Tamandua tetradactyla: one gene and its partner. The protein of the gene in region 2 purifies or fractionates together with the protein of the main gene of each other region. This does not show direct contact. Links are inferred from orthologs where the notes say so. Each region holds a gene or a part of one and is shown on either strand. Other genes may lie near its edges.

The links.
Region 1: the proteins of GTF2H4 (region 2) and MNAT1 purify together in Homo sapiens (co-immunoprecipitation; 3 studies listed by BioGRID and IntAct, with this or other methods). This does not show direct contact. The link is inferred for Tamandua tetradactyla from reciprocal best matches to the Homo sapiens genes GTF2H4 and MNAT1.

The regions. Positions count from the first base shown.
Region 1 is NC_135338.1:4,164,985-4,172,826, forward strand, and holds the start of MNAT1 (CDK-activating kinase assembly factor MAT1), read right to left. Parts: upstream 3,059-7,842; 5' UTR 2,956-3,058; coding exon 2,867-2,955; intron 1-2,866.
Region 2 is NC_135331.1:85,836,138-85,843,974, reverse strand, and holds the start of GTF2H4 (general transcription factor IIH subunit 4), read right to left. Parts: upstream 3,068-7,837; 5' UTR 3,054-3,067; coding exon 2,820-3,053; intron 2,204-2,819; coding exon 2,061-2,203; intron 1,790-2,060; coding exon 1,685-1,789; intron 1-1,684. UniProt on the Homo sapiens protein: Component of the general transcription and DNA repair factor IIH (TFIIH) core complex, which is involved in general and transcription-coupled nucleotide excision repair (NER) of damaged DNA and, when complexed to CAK, in RNA transcription by RNA polymerase II.

The DNA of each region.
Region 1 (7,842 bases), on a different chromosome or scaffold from region 2:
AAAAACAAACAAACAAAAATTTTAAAGCCACATACTCTAAGCCAACAAATCCACTCCTAATCATTTATCCTATCATTTACATACTATATCTGATAATATACTTGCATTAGTGCTCAGAGATGTATGTCTAAGAATGTTTACTCGGGTGAAAAAACTGGAAACCTAAATGTTCACCCAAAAAATGATTGGTTAAATTGTAATATAACTGAACAATGGAATACTATCTAACAGTTAAAATTAAAAGACATTCATGGTGTTTTAGAAAGATATTCAACTTAATGAAAAAGCAAGGATACAATATGATCTCACTTATGCTTGGGTAAGAAGTTTTTCTATCTAAACACACGCACATGATTGTATACACATAAAAATTGTCCAGAAAGCTACACGAGCAATTTAGAAATTGTTAGTTCTAAAGAAGTGAGCCAGAGGGCGGGCCATGGTGGCTCAGTAGGCAGAGTTCTCGCCTGACATGCCGGAGACCTGGGTTTGATTCCCAGTGCCTGCCCACGCCAAAAAAAAAGGAAAATAAAGAAGTGAGCCAGAGAAATTTTACTCTTCACTTAATACTCTTATGTTGCTTTAACTATTAATTGCTTATGTGCATTTTTAAATTTTTTAACGAATTATAAAAAAAAGTAAGTAAGCGCTCTCCTACAATCAATGAGCAGAATTTTAGCCTAGATTAAGGTCTTCTTAGTAAGGACAATGAAACAGAAAACATGCTGAAGAGTTAATATTAAGAAAATTACAATAAGACCATTATAATTAAAGCTACATTTTCATAGTCTATTGAATCCATTTAAAGATAATCATTGTTATACAAATCTTTCATAGGAAGCCAAATGACTCCTGTTTTAGTTTCATTACCGGATATTACCCATACCACCCACAAATAATATGATAATACGCTAATCAATATATATCGAACACCAACTAGATGACAGATACTCCACTAAATATCTCCAAATGTTTTACAAAGATTATTTAATTCTCAAACATTGTGATACAGGTAGTACTGTATTATCTCTATTTTACAAATAAGAAAAATGAGGCACAAGGCATTAACTTGCCCAAATCCTCAGAGAGGAAAATATTCAAAATCAAGCAGACTGATTCCAGAATTTGTTCTCTTAGCCAATACCCTAGAATGGCATTTTGAATGACCCTTTACTTTAGTATATATTCTCTTGAAGTCAGGAGATAATCTTTTATTCATTTTCTTCATATTTCAAGTCAAAAAACGACTGCAAAGTGTGGTCTGTACCTAGTACGTTAAAAATAAATCAAAATAAATGCAACACCAGAATCAATTAGATAACTTTTACCCTTATGAGAAAATAAAAAGGACTAAGGACACAAATGGAAGCAATTTCCAATTAAAACTAATTTTATAACTGTCTAATTACTATACGATTGATTTTACTGAAATCCCATAATCTTCCCTCATAAGCTAACTGCTGCTAGGCAGAAATTTCTTCCAGTCAATTACATTAATTAGCATTTCAAAAGAACAAAACAGGGGTGCACTAGTGGTTCAGTGGTAGAATGCTCACCTTCCATATGGGAGACCCGGACCATGCACCTCCCTCCCCTACCCCCACCCCCTCAAAAAAAAGAACAAAACATCTGGTCATCTACCTTTCCTTTAACATCAGTTGCAACAAATCTGATACTAGAAAATGGAGAAAAATAAAATGAAAACTTAATAGACTAATACTTAATAAGACTAAAAACTTAACAGTCTATCTGGACTGCTTGTTTTACTTCCCTTTTCCATACATTCTACTCGACTGTTTTTACCTTGTTTCTAACCTTAAACCATTCAGTCACAGCTCTACTGTACTTCCCCTACTGGATAACGCAAAGAAAATAAAGATTAATTACAAAAAGGAACCAATTGAGTTAATAAATTCCATTATAATTATTATAATTACAACTAATCATGCAACTTATGCTTACCTAAAGACCTTGTCTATAATACGGCAACTTATTCATCATCGAGCAACTGCAGGAACATGACATATGTTCCCGTCATATTGTAGATTTGATCCCAAAGTGCTTCACAGACAAGCACCTTCCTGAACCACGTCTGACCTTAAAAACTTGGGAAGGCACACTTTGACCCATTCCTGCACGGATGATTCAAAACACAGACGTTAAACCTCCCTCCTTCTCCCAGCTGCGCAAAACCAACCCCCCCCCCAAAAAAAAGTGGGCGTTCTGGAACCAGACTTCCGGGGTTCCAATTCCAGCAGCGCCCACTTAATAACTGGCCTTGAGTCGTCTCGACTTATTTCCCTCTGAAATGGGAAGAGCAGTCCCTACTTCGCAGGGCTCCTGGGGGAATGAAGTGAGCTAAGGCGTGGAAAAGCGCTCAAAACCGTGCCGGGTACCGGGAGGGCGCTCGGCGAAGACCAGCCTTTACTAAGCCTCCCCCATTCTCCCTGCTGGGCGGTAAGGGTCTAACCCGAGCCCGTCGGGACAAGACGCGGTTTTCAGAACAACTCGTACAATGCGACGAGCTGCAGCACACGGCAGGGTCATTTCCACTTTCCTAGCGCGTTCGCTCTTTAAGAAGAAAAGCGCTCCCTGTGACACTCCCCTCGCTTCCCCCCGCGCTGCGTCTGGGATCCCGGTGGCCGCCCAGAGCCCGGGAGCACCGTCGCCTAGCAGAGACCCGCCCAACCGCCGGCGACCGGCGGCCGCAGCCCTGCAGGCCCGGGCGGTTCGGAAGGCCAAGCTCGCTGTCCCCGCTCTCCCGCTCCGTGTCCGCACCGCGGACGCCCCGCGCCCGGCGCCGGGGCCGCCATCCCTCAGCCTCGCCGCCCGCCCCGCGCGGCCCTCCCGCCGCCGCCCCACTCACAGCGTGTGTCCGCACACGTTCACCATCAGCTTCAAGGAGGGGTTCCGGTACTTGGTGGTCTTACACCGGGGGCAGCCCTGGTCGTCCATGGCGCCTTCTCGCCGACCGACGCTCCCCGCCGCCGGCTTCGGCCACACGCGCTGCCACAGGTCCCGCCGGTCCCGACGCCCGGCGGCTTCCTACCCGCAGGCGCTCGGCAGGAACGGGTCCTTCGGAAAGGGGCACCGGCGAGAACCCGGCACCGCGGCACGGGCGTTCCGGAAGCCAGGTCTCCGGCTCTGCAGCCGGGGGTCGAGCTTAGCCTTCCGGAAGCAGCGCAATATTTTGGATTTCGGGGGTAAAAAGTTTAAAGGCAAATGGTATACAAAGTCTCATCTCTGTGCATTTAGTCTCATGTGCAAGTACGGAGTCATAATTAGGGAGATAAATTGCATCGATCTATCAGGAAACATTCCCATGATTTCATGTATACATGTGCCTGGAGTCTTCATAATTAAGAGTGATATTTTCTTTTGAACAGTTTCAGCCTGTGCTTTATACTTTTCCTTTATACTTGCAAAGCTATGCAAGCACAGAAAATACTCTGCATTTGCAGATATGAAAAGTTTGGACAAGTTATCTAGAACAGTCATCTCTGCAAAGACCCTAAATATTACAGATTCTCACTAAACGTCAGAATACTTATACAAACAATGTGTCATATGCTCTTCAGAGAGCCCCTTGTCTCAAGGTTGTCAAATATGCCTAATGGTGTCACGTGACCCTAGTATTCCCCACCCCCCTCAGACAACAGTTATTTCCCCCCAAATACTGAAAAGGAAAATAAACCCTATGAGAATGCACAAAACTTTATTTGAGCATTTCCAGGATATGAGAACCTGAATCTCTTTGGAAATTGTAAGCCACCATTCATTACATTTATCAAAGTCTATAAACAGCTGTAATAGATTAAAAAAAAAAAAAACTTCCCACTATAAATAAAGGACATCTTATTCACCTCCATAACAGATACTCAACAAGGATTTGTTGATGCTTATTAAATAAGCAGAGTAAATGAAGAATGAAAGACCAGAAAATAACAGTGTAATGCAAAGTTTTTTATGCCAAGCATAATCTTATAGTCACATTCATCTAACACAAATTCCACCAGGACAAACAGGCATACTTTTTTCAAATTAACCCGTACAATGAATAGCAGCTGCACACACTCAGTAATTTTAACTTTTCATAGCACTTTCACTTGTTTCAATAAAAACAAAAAGGAACACTCCAACTCACAAACTTTTCAACACTGAACCCAGCTGGTAACCGATAAGCAGGAAAAACAATTGGGATTTCAGGGGTGTGAAGGGGGGAGCTTGACAAACAGCTGGATGCCACATCTGGGAACCAGCAATTCAAAGCAGGCCAGGGCAGAGCAGGGCTTTATATTAGTATAGGACATCCAGGGATTCACCCAATAAATTAGCCATGTCATCTCCTTGATCATAAAATTTTTCATTAAGAGGAGCTAAGAAACTGTAAGTTTAATAAAATAGGCAGCCCCGAATGCTACGTTGACCTAGAATTTTATTGTGCTTCTACTGACATATTGAAAGAAGCATAACGTCTTATTGAAAGACAGTACATTGTTTCATCCCAACCAGCTGCATGACTCAGAGTGAAGTTCTCCAAGAACAAAAGCAACTTTTAAGAGCTTTATATTTTAACAGAGCAGGAAACTCCTGGGGACAGAATGAATATGGTCAGTAAGCAAATAAAATTTTGAACCAATGCTACATTAAGAAGTCATCCACTCAGTTGGCATTATTGTTTAATACCACCAGGACACTTTCAATCAGGTTTTTACACAGGTGACTTCAAGCACATTGTGAAGTGAATTGCTTTTGGTTTCTCCCAAGCTTTGAGATCAAGATAAAGAAAGCAGGAGTGCAGCTGGCTGGGAGGGGACTGTAAGAGGAAACACTGCTACTAGCTTTATCCTGTTCTCAGATGGTAAACTACAACCAGGGAGCATTGGTGGTTACAGCTGACTTGGACCTATTAGACAAGATTTACCTAAGGTGCTGGAGGCAGTATTTAGTACTTAGAAATTTGGCATCTGGCACCAAGAGAGCTGGATTCAAGTGCTGGCTTCTTTATTTACCAGCCATGTGACCTTGGGCTTCAGCTGGAGATAAAAATTAAATGAGAGGGTGCACAGGGCTTCAGCTGGAGACAAAAATTAAATGAGAGGGTGCACAGGTGGTTCAGTGGTAGAATGCTCACCTTCCATGCAGGAGACCCAGGTTCGATTCCCAGACCATGCACCCCCCCCAAAAAAAAATTAAATTATATATTTCATTAAAAGCTCTTACCACAACAAAGCTACAGTAAAGAAAACAGCATGCACTGGCACAAGGACAGATGTACAGACAAATGAAATCAAATTGGGAGTTCAGAAATAAATCCTCCAACCTAAACCTATGGCCAACTGATTTTTGACAAAGAGGCCACCACATCCACTCAGTGGGTAAAGAACAGTCTGTTTAGCAAATGTTGCTGGGAAACATGCATATCCATATGCAAAACAATGAAAGGGGACCCCTACCTCACATCATATACAAAAATTAACTCAAAATTGATCAAAAACCTAAGTATAAGAACCAAAACTATAAAATTCTAGGGAAATATCTTCATGACTTTGTGTTAGGCAGTGGTTTCTTAGACTTTACACCAAAAGAACAAGCAACAAAAGAAAAAATACATAAATGGGACTTCATCAAAATTTAAACCATTTGAGCATCAAAGAACTTTATCAAGAAAGTAAAAAAGAAAACCCACAGAATGAGAGGAAATATTTGGAAACTATTTATCTAACAAGGTTTTAGTATTCAGAATATATAAAGAACCCCTACGATTTGACAACAAAAAAAGACCAACACCCAATTTTAAAATGGGGAAAAGATTTGAGTGGACATTTCTCAAAAAAAGACATATAAATGGCCAAAAAGCACATGAAAAGATACTCAACATCATTAGCTATCAGGGAAATGCAAATCATAACCACAATGAGATTCCGTTTCACACCCACTAAAATGGTTACTATTAAAAAAACAAAACACAAATGTTGGACAGGATGTAAAGAAATAGGAACCCTCATACTTTGCTGATGGAGATGTAAAATGGTGCAGCTACTGTGGAAAACAGCTTGGCAATGCCTCAGAAAGTTAAACTTAGAATTACCGTATGTCCCAGCAACTCCACTTTTAGGGACTACCCAAAAGAACTGAAAGCCAGGACTCGAACAGTTATTTGCACATCAATGTTCATAATGGCATTATTCACAATTGCCAAAAAGTGGAAGTAATCCAAGTGTCCGTTGCTGAATGAATAAAAAAAATGGATATGTATATACCACATATATTATTTGTCCATAAGAAAAGAATGAAGCTATGCATGCTTGAAATCATCATGCTGAGTGAAATAAGCCAGATACAAAAAGATAAATGTTGTATGATCTCACATATGAAAAAAGCAGAATATGCAAATTTATAAATTCAGAACCTAGAATACAGGTTACCTGGAGCCCCGCGGAGATGGGTAATGGGGACTTAATGTTTAATTGTTTGTGGAGTTTCAGTTTGAGGTGATGCAGAAGTGCTGACAATGAAGATGGTGATAGATTCACAGCTTTGTGAATGTAATCAACACCATGAATTGTATACTTCCGAGTATATTAAATGGGAAAATTTTAGATTATATATAAATTACAAGAAAAGAAATAAAACTGTACAACACAAAGAGTTAGCCCTAATGTAAACTATGGGTTATATTTACTAGTGTAATTATAATAATAATGTTTCATCAGTTTTAACAAAGGTATCATACTAATTGTTAATGAAAATTAACATACAAATCATTAATAACAGAGAAAATTGTGCATGAGAGAGGGCGTGTATGGGAAGTCTATACTGTGTGCATGATTTTTCTCTGAACCAACACTGCTCTAAAAATAAATAAACCCAAAAAAGAATTGCTTAGCATAGTACCTAGCACAGAGGAAGCGCTCAATAACTGTTAGTTAATAAATACTAGTAGTACTATCTAAAACAGGCCATATAGTGCAATAGGAAGAGTCTGGGCTTCTTTGAAAGGAGACAGACCTGAGTTTAAGCCAGATCGTTTATCCTCTTTCAACCTCAGATTCCTTCCTCCATATAATACACTTCACTGTGCTGTTGTGATGACTAAATTACATACTGTGCGTGCCTCACATGTAATAGGAACTTTGAAATGTGCACCATTATTCCTGGCACATTTCACTAACATAGAATGGTCAAAGAGCTTTGAGGAGGAAAGCACTAAAATACCAGATTTCAGATTCATGAATTTTGAAAGTGTGGTAAAATTCTAAACCCAAATAAACCTCAGCCAATGTAGAAAAACCAGCAAGCCATCAAATTTACTACATTTCTGAAGACAGCTGTGTCTGAACAGTGGGCCAATTGGAATCCATTATTTCTCTTCCTGCATCTCTGCATCTCTCTCAGTTAGCAGTCAGTTCTTCTTCCCAGGGACGCTGTTTCCCAAGCGCTGATGGTGGTTTCCAAGGCTGCCGACTTCAGAGGAGGAAAGTGTCCCTTTCCTCATCTGAAAGTAGGTAGGCTCTCCTCATCTGAAGAGGACATTTATTGTTTGCCCCTTGATTAGCAATAGCAACCCCCATCCCTTCTTTTGGAAAATAGCTCCTCACCCACACAGCTGGTGGTTCTGTTGGGACTACCCCATCACAAGGCTAGCCTTTCAGCCCACAGGTTGACACACAACCCTTCTGAACCCATCAAAGACCGTCCCAGGAATTTGTCAAATGGAAGTAAGGTAAAAGACTCTTTACTTATAATAAATCTTACCTTCCCATTAGATTTTAAACTTCTCAGGGTCAGGGACTCCAACACATTCAGCTTTCTATCCTTTAGTAATTGATACACTGTCGT
Region 2 (7,837 bases):
TGATTCCTGGAACACAGAATGAAATCAGTGTCTTCTTAAGACAAATTTCTTTACTATAAATTTCCTTTACTATAAGACTTAAAAGTCTATACATGTCATGACTTGCTCTATTGCCAAGAAGAAAAATACAGTAGGCAGAGTTTCTTAAAATTACTTAATTATGAATTTTGTAGTATACCCATTAATATTTCCTGGAAGTGACCCAAGAAACAGCAGTTCGGGAAATACAGCTGTTAAGAAATGTGTATCTAGATAGAGGAAAATGTTGGGAGATATCTTATGAATCTTACAACTGGAGGTGGTTTTATGGACCTTAAACCTAAAGCAAGAACACTGAAGAAGGAAATAAATAAATGGGAGCTCCTCAAAATTAAACACTTTTGTGCATCAGAGAACTTCATCAAGAAAGTAGAAAGACAGCCTACACAATGGGAGACAATATTTGGAAACGACATATCAGATAAAGGTCTAGTATCCAGAATTTATAAAGAGATTGTTCATCTCAACAACAAAAAGACAGCCAACCCAATTACAAAATGGGAAAAAGACTTGAACAGACACCTCTCAGAAGAGGAAATACGGATGGCCAAGAGGCACATGAAGAGATGCTCAATGTCCCTGGCCATTAGAGAAATGCAAATCAAAACCACAATGAGATATCATCTCACACCCACCAGAATGGCCATTATCAACAAAACAGAAAATGACAAGTGCTGGAGAGGATGCGGAGAAAGAGGCACACTTATCCACTGTTGGTGGGAATGTCAAAGGGTGCAACCACTGTGGAAGGCAGTTTGGCGGTTCCTCAAAAAGCTGAATATAGAATTGCCATACGACCCAGCAATACCATTGCTAGGTATCTACTCAAAGGACTTAAGGGCAAAGACACAAACGGACATTTGCACACCAATGTTTATAGCAGCGTTGTTTGCAATTGCAAAGAGATGGAAACAGCCAAAATCTCCATCAACAGAAGAGTGGCTAAACAAACTGTGGTATATACATACGATGGAATATTATGCAGCTTTAAGACAAGATAAACTTATGAACCATGTAATAACATGGATGGACCTAGAGAATATTATGCTGAGTGAATCCAGCCAAAAACTAAAGGACAAATACTGTATGGTCCCACTGATGTGAACAGACATTCGAGAATAAACTTGAAATATGTCATTGGTAACAGAGTTCAGCAGGAGTTAGAAACAGGGTAAGACAATGGGTAATTGAAGCTGAAGGGATACAGACTGTGCAACAGGACTAGATACAAAAACTCAAAAATGGACAGCACAATAATACCTAATTGTAAAGTAATCATGTTAAAATACTGAATGAAGCTGCATCTGAGCTATAGGGTTTTTTTTGTTTTTGTTTGCTTGTTGGTTTGTTTGTTGTTGTTTTTTTTTACTATTACTACTACTTTTATTTCTTTTCTTTACATTAACATTTTATATCTTTTTCTGTTGTGTTGCTAGTTCCTCTAAACCGATGCAAATGTACTAAGAAACAATGATCATGCATCTATGTGATGATGTTAAGGATTACTGAGTGCATATGTAGAATGGTATGATTTCTAAATGTTGTGTTAATTTCTTTTTTTTTTTCCGTTAATAAAAAATAAAAAAAAATAAAAAATAAAAAAAAAAGAAATGTGTATCTATCTGAGGATGCATTGGAAACTCACTTGCTAAATTCCTTCTTCACCCACAGGGCTACAGCAGCTTGTGGTAAAGGCTGTTCCAGAAAGAGCATACGCATAACCCAGTTCTTAGCTAAAGATGGGAGCTCCCTGTAGAAAGTAGAGGTCAAATGTTATCATCAGAAGCTGATTTATATCTATAATTGCCTCCAAGAACCTCTCAAATATTTCATCTCACCTCCTTACACACACAAATACAAGTCCTTACAAGTGCCGGTGCCCCCCAAATCTCAAAAGTCCATTCGTTTTGGTCTGCCACCCTTTGGAGTAATCTCCAAGAACCCTCAGGGTTAACTTATTCCAGTCTGCAGGCTCCCATTACATTTCCCCACCATGGTCCTTGCCATGAAGAGGTCCTCACCTGAAGACAGCCAGACAGGTGGCAGGGTGCCCATACAATCGGTCCAATACCCCTGGGCTCAAACCCCCTAAGAATTCCTGCAGGTTCCGGCATTGTAGGTGTACTCGGTTCAGTCCACCCCGTGTGGGGGTGCTCTCCATCACCTGAGAGACGCCAAATATTAGAAGCACATCCCCACCATCCATGACTATGTCTCCCCTCACCTTTCTCATCAGAATTCCAGATCCCTCCACCCCTACCCCCACCCTAAATAACCCAGGTTTTCTGTGGCTCCCTCTTCCATATGCCACTCATCTCATGTTACTTCAAAATCTGACCAGCCTCCTCTCCTTTCCTGCCTCCTCAACCCACTTCTGTCCTCAACTTCAGTCTTCTCTGTTTCCAGGTGACAGAATTAATGATCATTTTGTATTTCAATGACTTGTCTTATCTTTAATTGAGCAGTTGAGCCCGATTTGCTTTCATCCCAGCCCCTCCTGGCCAGATCAACCTGTGAGATGCAAATCTGTCAGTCCTTCCCACCTTCTATTTCTTCGCCCTGCGTCTCTTGCTAAGCATCACAATAAACTACCTCTGCCCTCCATGTCTCGCCAATCGAATTCCACCTTTCTCCCTCCCCCCCAAGTCTCTTTCACCCCATTCACTCTGACCCCACACCGTCCTATGTCCTAACTTTTCCTCTACTTTCCTCCCACTCCGCGCCTTTCACCCAACTCTGCCTGATACCTCCGCCACCCCACCTTCCCAGGGCTGCCTCACCACTTTGTTGATCCCACCTCGTGCACCCCGAGTCTCGAGCGGTCGCTTAATCGGAGCCAATGTTTCGCAGTAGCTCCTGGGAATAGGGGAAAGAATGGTGAAAAATACGAGAAAAAAAAAATGGGGAGAAGAACGAAAGACTCCACAGACAGGAGCCGAGAGGGACGGATTCAGAAGAGGAGTGGAAAAGTGGAAAGGCAAGAATAAGTGCTGCACCCGCCTGTCGCGGGGCATGCTGGGAATTGGAGTCTGGTCCTCGCTCGCTCCCATCGGGCTCGCACGCGCATGACTACAACTCCCGACAGGCACCGCGGAGAAGCGAGCCGGGGAGAGGCTGGTTTTAATGGAGAGAGCCGAGGACGCCAGGCCGGGCCGATTGGTTCCGCTGCTCACTCCGCCCACGCTGATAACGGCGCTGCTCACCGGCCTTAGCGGGAGGCGGGACCCGGGAGTAGATGGGCCGCTTGGAGGAAGCGCGCTGAGATGCGGCGGCGGTGAGACGCTTAGGCTTATAGATACACGAAACTGGGTTCCTTGAGCTCATTTACACCCCCCTAAAATTGTCATAAAGCACACTCCTAAAGTGTTTTCGCGAGTTAGGTGTTAACACGACCCATTACGCCTTACTTGGCATGTAAATCTTAATTTCCACCTCCACCACGCTTACACCGTTTATTAGAAGGTCCTGATAAATACAATTTCTTAAAGAAGCCAGTCGTTTGCTCTGATTTGATTTTCGAACCTACTGCAGGGAAAGGGAAAGGAATGTCTTCAGTCGAGACCAGAGCTACGCGTTTCCCCAAGTTTCTGTGAGGCGACCTTTGTTCTTTCCACTTTACAGACGAGAAAACCCAAGCTCAGCGAGATGAAGAAATTTGCCCACGTATGAGACAGCTACGAAGTGATGAGGCTGGGTTTTGAGACGCGTTTACAAGGAAGCGAGGGACCGAAGACCAAAATGCTAAGGACAGCCTAAGACTTCGTTAGCCTTTGCAGCTGGTACATGTTATCTTCTTGTTCCCTGTTTCTGTGGCAGTCAGTGTTTAAAATCCTCAAAGCATGACAGAGAACTGATAAAGCTTCTTTATGGCACAAGGTAAAGAAAGTCAAAATACAAATTATAGCCTGGGAAGAAATGTTTGATAAAACAGATAAAATGCAGAAAACTTACAGAGCAGTAAGAAAAAGGAACAGTGCAATGAAAAGATCTGCAAAAGAGAGGAACAGGCAAAAAGCAGAAGAAATACAAATGCCTTATAAATAGAGGAACAATTTGCAGCTTCACTAGTAATTAAGGAAAAGTAAATTATGAAACAAAATATGGTAAATTAAAGAGACAATAAAATGTCAGATTAGGAAAAAAATGAAGTTAAGGGTTGACAACGTCAGTGCTGGCCAGGATGTAAGAGCATACACATACACTTGTGTTGAAGATTGGCATATGCACGCCTTTTTAAGGGTAATGTGGCAGTATCTAGCAATATTTTAATGTGACTTAGCAACTCCAGCTTTAAGGATATATCACACTGAAGTTCTCCCACATGGGTGCAGGAATATACATGCAGAGATGTTTAGTGAGGCATGTTTGTTGTTGTATTATGAAAGCAATGGAAACAACCCAGATGTCTGCCCTCGGGGTCGGTTATATAAAACGTGCATAGTCCCAACAATGTAAGATACTGGGCAACACTTTGAAAGGAGGCCAGGTATATTTAGTGGCCTGGAGCTATCTATGGCCTATCAGCAAGGGGAGAAAAGCAGATTACAAAATGGTGTACATAAATTAATGGCACCTTTGTAAACAGATTTTAGGCATGTGTAAAACTGAAAGGCCATTTGGTTCGTTTTGGAGGGAGCAGACAAAGGCCAACTGGGCAGACCTCTTGGCGAGCCCTGCTCTACGGGATGCAGTGGGTGAGGGCAAGATGTCCAGTGGCAGGAACTGAGCACATAACTGTTCCTGGAACTGAACTTAAGGAAGAAAATCAGCTTGCTGGGCCTGACAGGGGGCCTGGGGGCTGAAATTGTGGAAGGAGCTCCCTGATAGAGGGTTGTCCAGTCTGTGCTTGGAAATGCCCTGCTATGGAGAGCTCACAACCTCCTCCCAACAGACAGCTTCCTGGACAGAAAGAACATAGAGCCACCCTTTAGCATGCTTCCCACCCAGTGCCGCCATCTGCTGGCTATGCAAGTTTAGGCATGTTGCTTAACCTAATACTCTTCATTGTGAAATAAGTAGGATACCTAACAAATATTCATCATCATTACTGATTTCTATAACTTTCACGTATTGACCCTGGTTCCCTAGCTACACAGAGTAATCCAATCCCTTATATTAACCTTTAGATATTTGACAAAAGTTCTTTCTTTCAACCAGTATTTACTGATACCTTTCAACCAGTATTTACTGAACTTGCCCTTGTGGAGCTTAGTCTAGTGGGAAAGGCAGGTATAAGAAAGTATATGTGCACAAATACATGTAAAATCGCACCTGTAAAAGTGCTACAAAGAAGAGATTGATGGGCTCTGAGAGTATCAGTAGAGGATTTGACCTGGTTAGGGAGGTGAGGTACGGCTGCTGAAGGGCAAGTAGAAGTTAACAGGACAAAGACAGCAGGCACGGTCCAGCTGAAGGAATAGCATGCTACAAAGGCTCTGGGCAGGAGGAACTGTGACATGTTGGAAGAGCTGAAAGAAGGCTAGGGATGCCTAGAGGAGAGGTCAGAGAAGGACTCTAGAGAGGTAGGTGTGTGTGGCCCACACTTGGCCAGAAGATGTTATTTTTTATTCTAAGATCAATGGTTTTGAAATAAAGGAGCAGAGTCGGACATGTGTGTTTTGTTTTGTTTTTTAATTACTCTGGCTGCAGTGCCAAAAGGAAACCACAGCGGAACAGGAGCAGATCTGGGGGTGACCGGCTAGGAGACTGCAGCGGTTCAGGCAAGAGGGCGGTAGCCCGTGTCGGGACAATGATGGAGATGGTGGGAAATGAATGAGTTAAAGGGAAACTGGGGCAGCATAATCAACAAGTCTTCATGGACAGACTGGACTTGGGAAGTGAGAGTAAGGGGGGAGGAGGTGTTAAGAAGAACTGCCTGGTTTCTGGCTTGTCCAGTTGAGTGGATGATGATTTACTGAGTCAAGAAACCAGGGAGGAGGAACAGGTTTGGACATGCTGAAATTGACATTCAAATAAACTTCAGGTGGTTATTGAGGTCTAGAGCTCAAAAGAGAGTTCCAGGCTTACCGCTATGGCTTCCATTGCTCGCCGTTCTGGGTCTGGCCTTGAAACTCCAACCTGTGGGCGCCCGTCTTAAATTGTGGTACACAGTGGTCTGACCTGTGTAGGTTTCAGTAGGACTGTTAGACCTGACCCCCGAGAGCCTGTTCATTCAACGTAAGACTAAAGTATCTTTTATTGGTGTGCTCATTATCCAGTTGACTCGCTTTGAGAATAGCATCAACCAAATACCCCAGGGTCTTTATTTCTCATGAACTGCTAGCAATACGTGTCTGCCCAGTCCGATACTTGCAACTATTTTTGGTGGCTGTTTTTTTTTTATTTATTATTATTTTTTTACCTCCTCCCTTTCCAGCCAAATCTGTACTCTTTGTTAAATGCTCTCTTGGTGGTTGTGACTCATCCTTCCAGGCCTCTGAGATAATTTAGGCTCTGGGTTCTGGCTTCTATCCAAACAGTTCGAACCTATTGGGCTATTTGTACAGTTCATCAGCCTAATCTAAATTAGGCTGGACTTCACCTGGACCTCCCAGATCCTGAGAGGGTCCTAGAATTTGGGTAAGAAAAAAAGGTTACACCTTTGTTTTTCCTAACCTCTGACTGAAACACTTCCTTCAATTATGAACATAGAAAACCCCACTGAAAATCAGTACCTGTGGCTTGTCACTAATAGGACATCACAGGTATTTTTATATCTCATTACAGCTGTTGTGGAACTCTCAAAATATTCTTCATGCTCATGGGCACATGAAAATGTCAGCAGTTAGCACAACTCCTGCTGGATGTTAATATTAAATATATTTAAAAGAAACATATACTACTGCATCACCTTTCAAAAAACATTTTGGTAACTGTTTCAATTAGTTTTCCTTGTAATCCTATGTATTTGTCTTATGGGTTTTAAAAGTATGATTCTGAAGAAGAATCCGGAGGCCTCTGCAGAGTGCCCAAGGGGTCCGAGGCACAGTAAAGGTTAGGGACCCCTGGCCTAATCCACCTCCCCAACCAGTGTGGGGGCCAGGTCTCCCACAGAGCACTGCCCGCTTCCCTCCTGGTTCACACGTCCACACATGCATGCATTCTAATCCACCTCCCCAACCAGTGTGGGGGCCGGGTCTCCCGCAGAGCACTGCCCGCTTCCCTCCTGGCTCACACGTCCACACATGCATGCATTCTCCCGAGGTCCCACAGGCAAGGGTCTGGGTTATATAGAAATAGAACCCAATACCGGGCAAACAGGTAGTTGGAAATGGGATGGGGAGGGGATGGAAAAGAGATGAGGGAAGCAAAGGAAATGGGTTGAGGGGGGTGAGGGGTACTGGAGGCAGGTTTTACTGAAACCTCAAAAAACCCAACACACAGCTGTGGAAAACTCAACCTTTATTATTACCTGCCTAGCGCAGGGGATTAAAATTGCCTCAGCTAGGTCCATATATTAGTGTAAAAATCTGTGTCTCTCCCCCCAAAAATGTACAAACCCCAAGTGATTATAGAAAAACCAATGTGGCAGCTACTATAGAGATGTCCGTCCCCAGGGCCGTTGCTCCCTCTCTCCCCCTAATCCCAGTATTTATTCCACAGAAACATACAGGCGTAGAGAAATTCTAACTCCAACAGGGCAGGTGGGAAGCAGGGATAGTTGAGGGGTGGGAGCAGGGATTGCCCCAGGTCCAGTGTTTTAGGGGAGGGAGGAGGGAGAAGCCAATGTAGAGGACAATTCCAGAAGTGGGCGCAAGGGAACATCTTCCTCCTTTTCTTGTCCTCCTTGCCCCACACA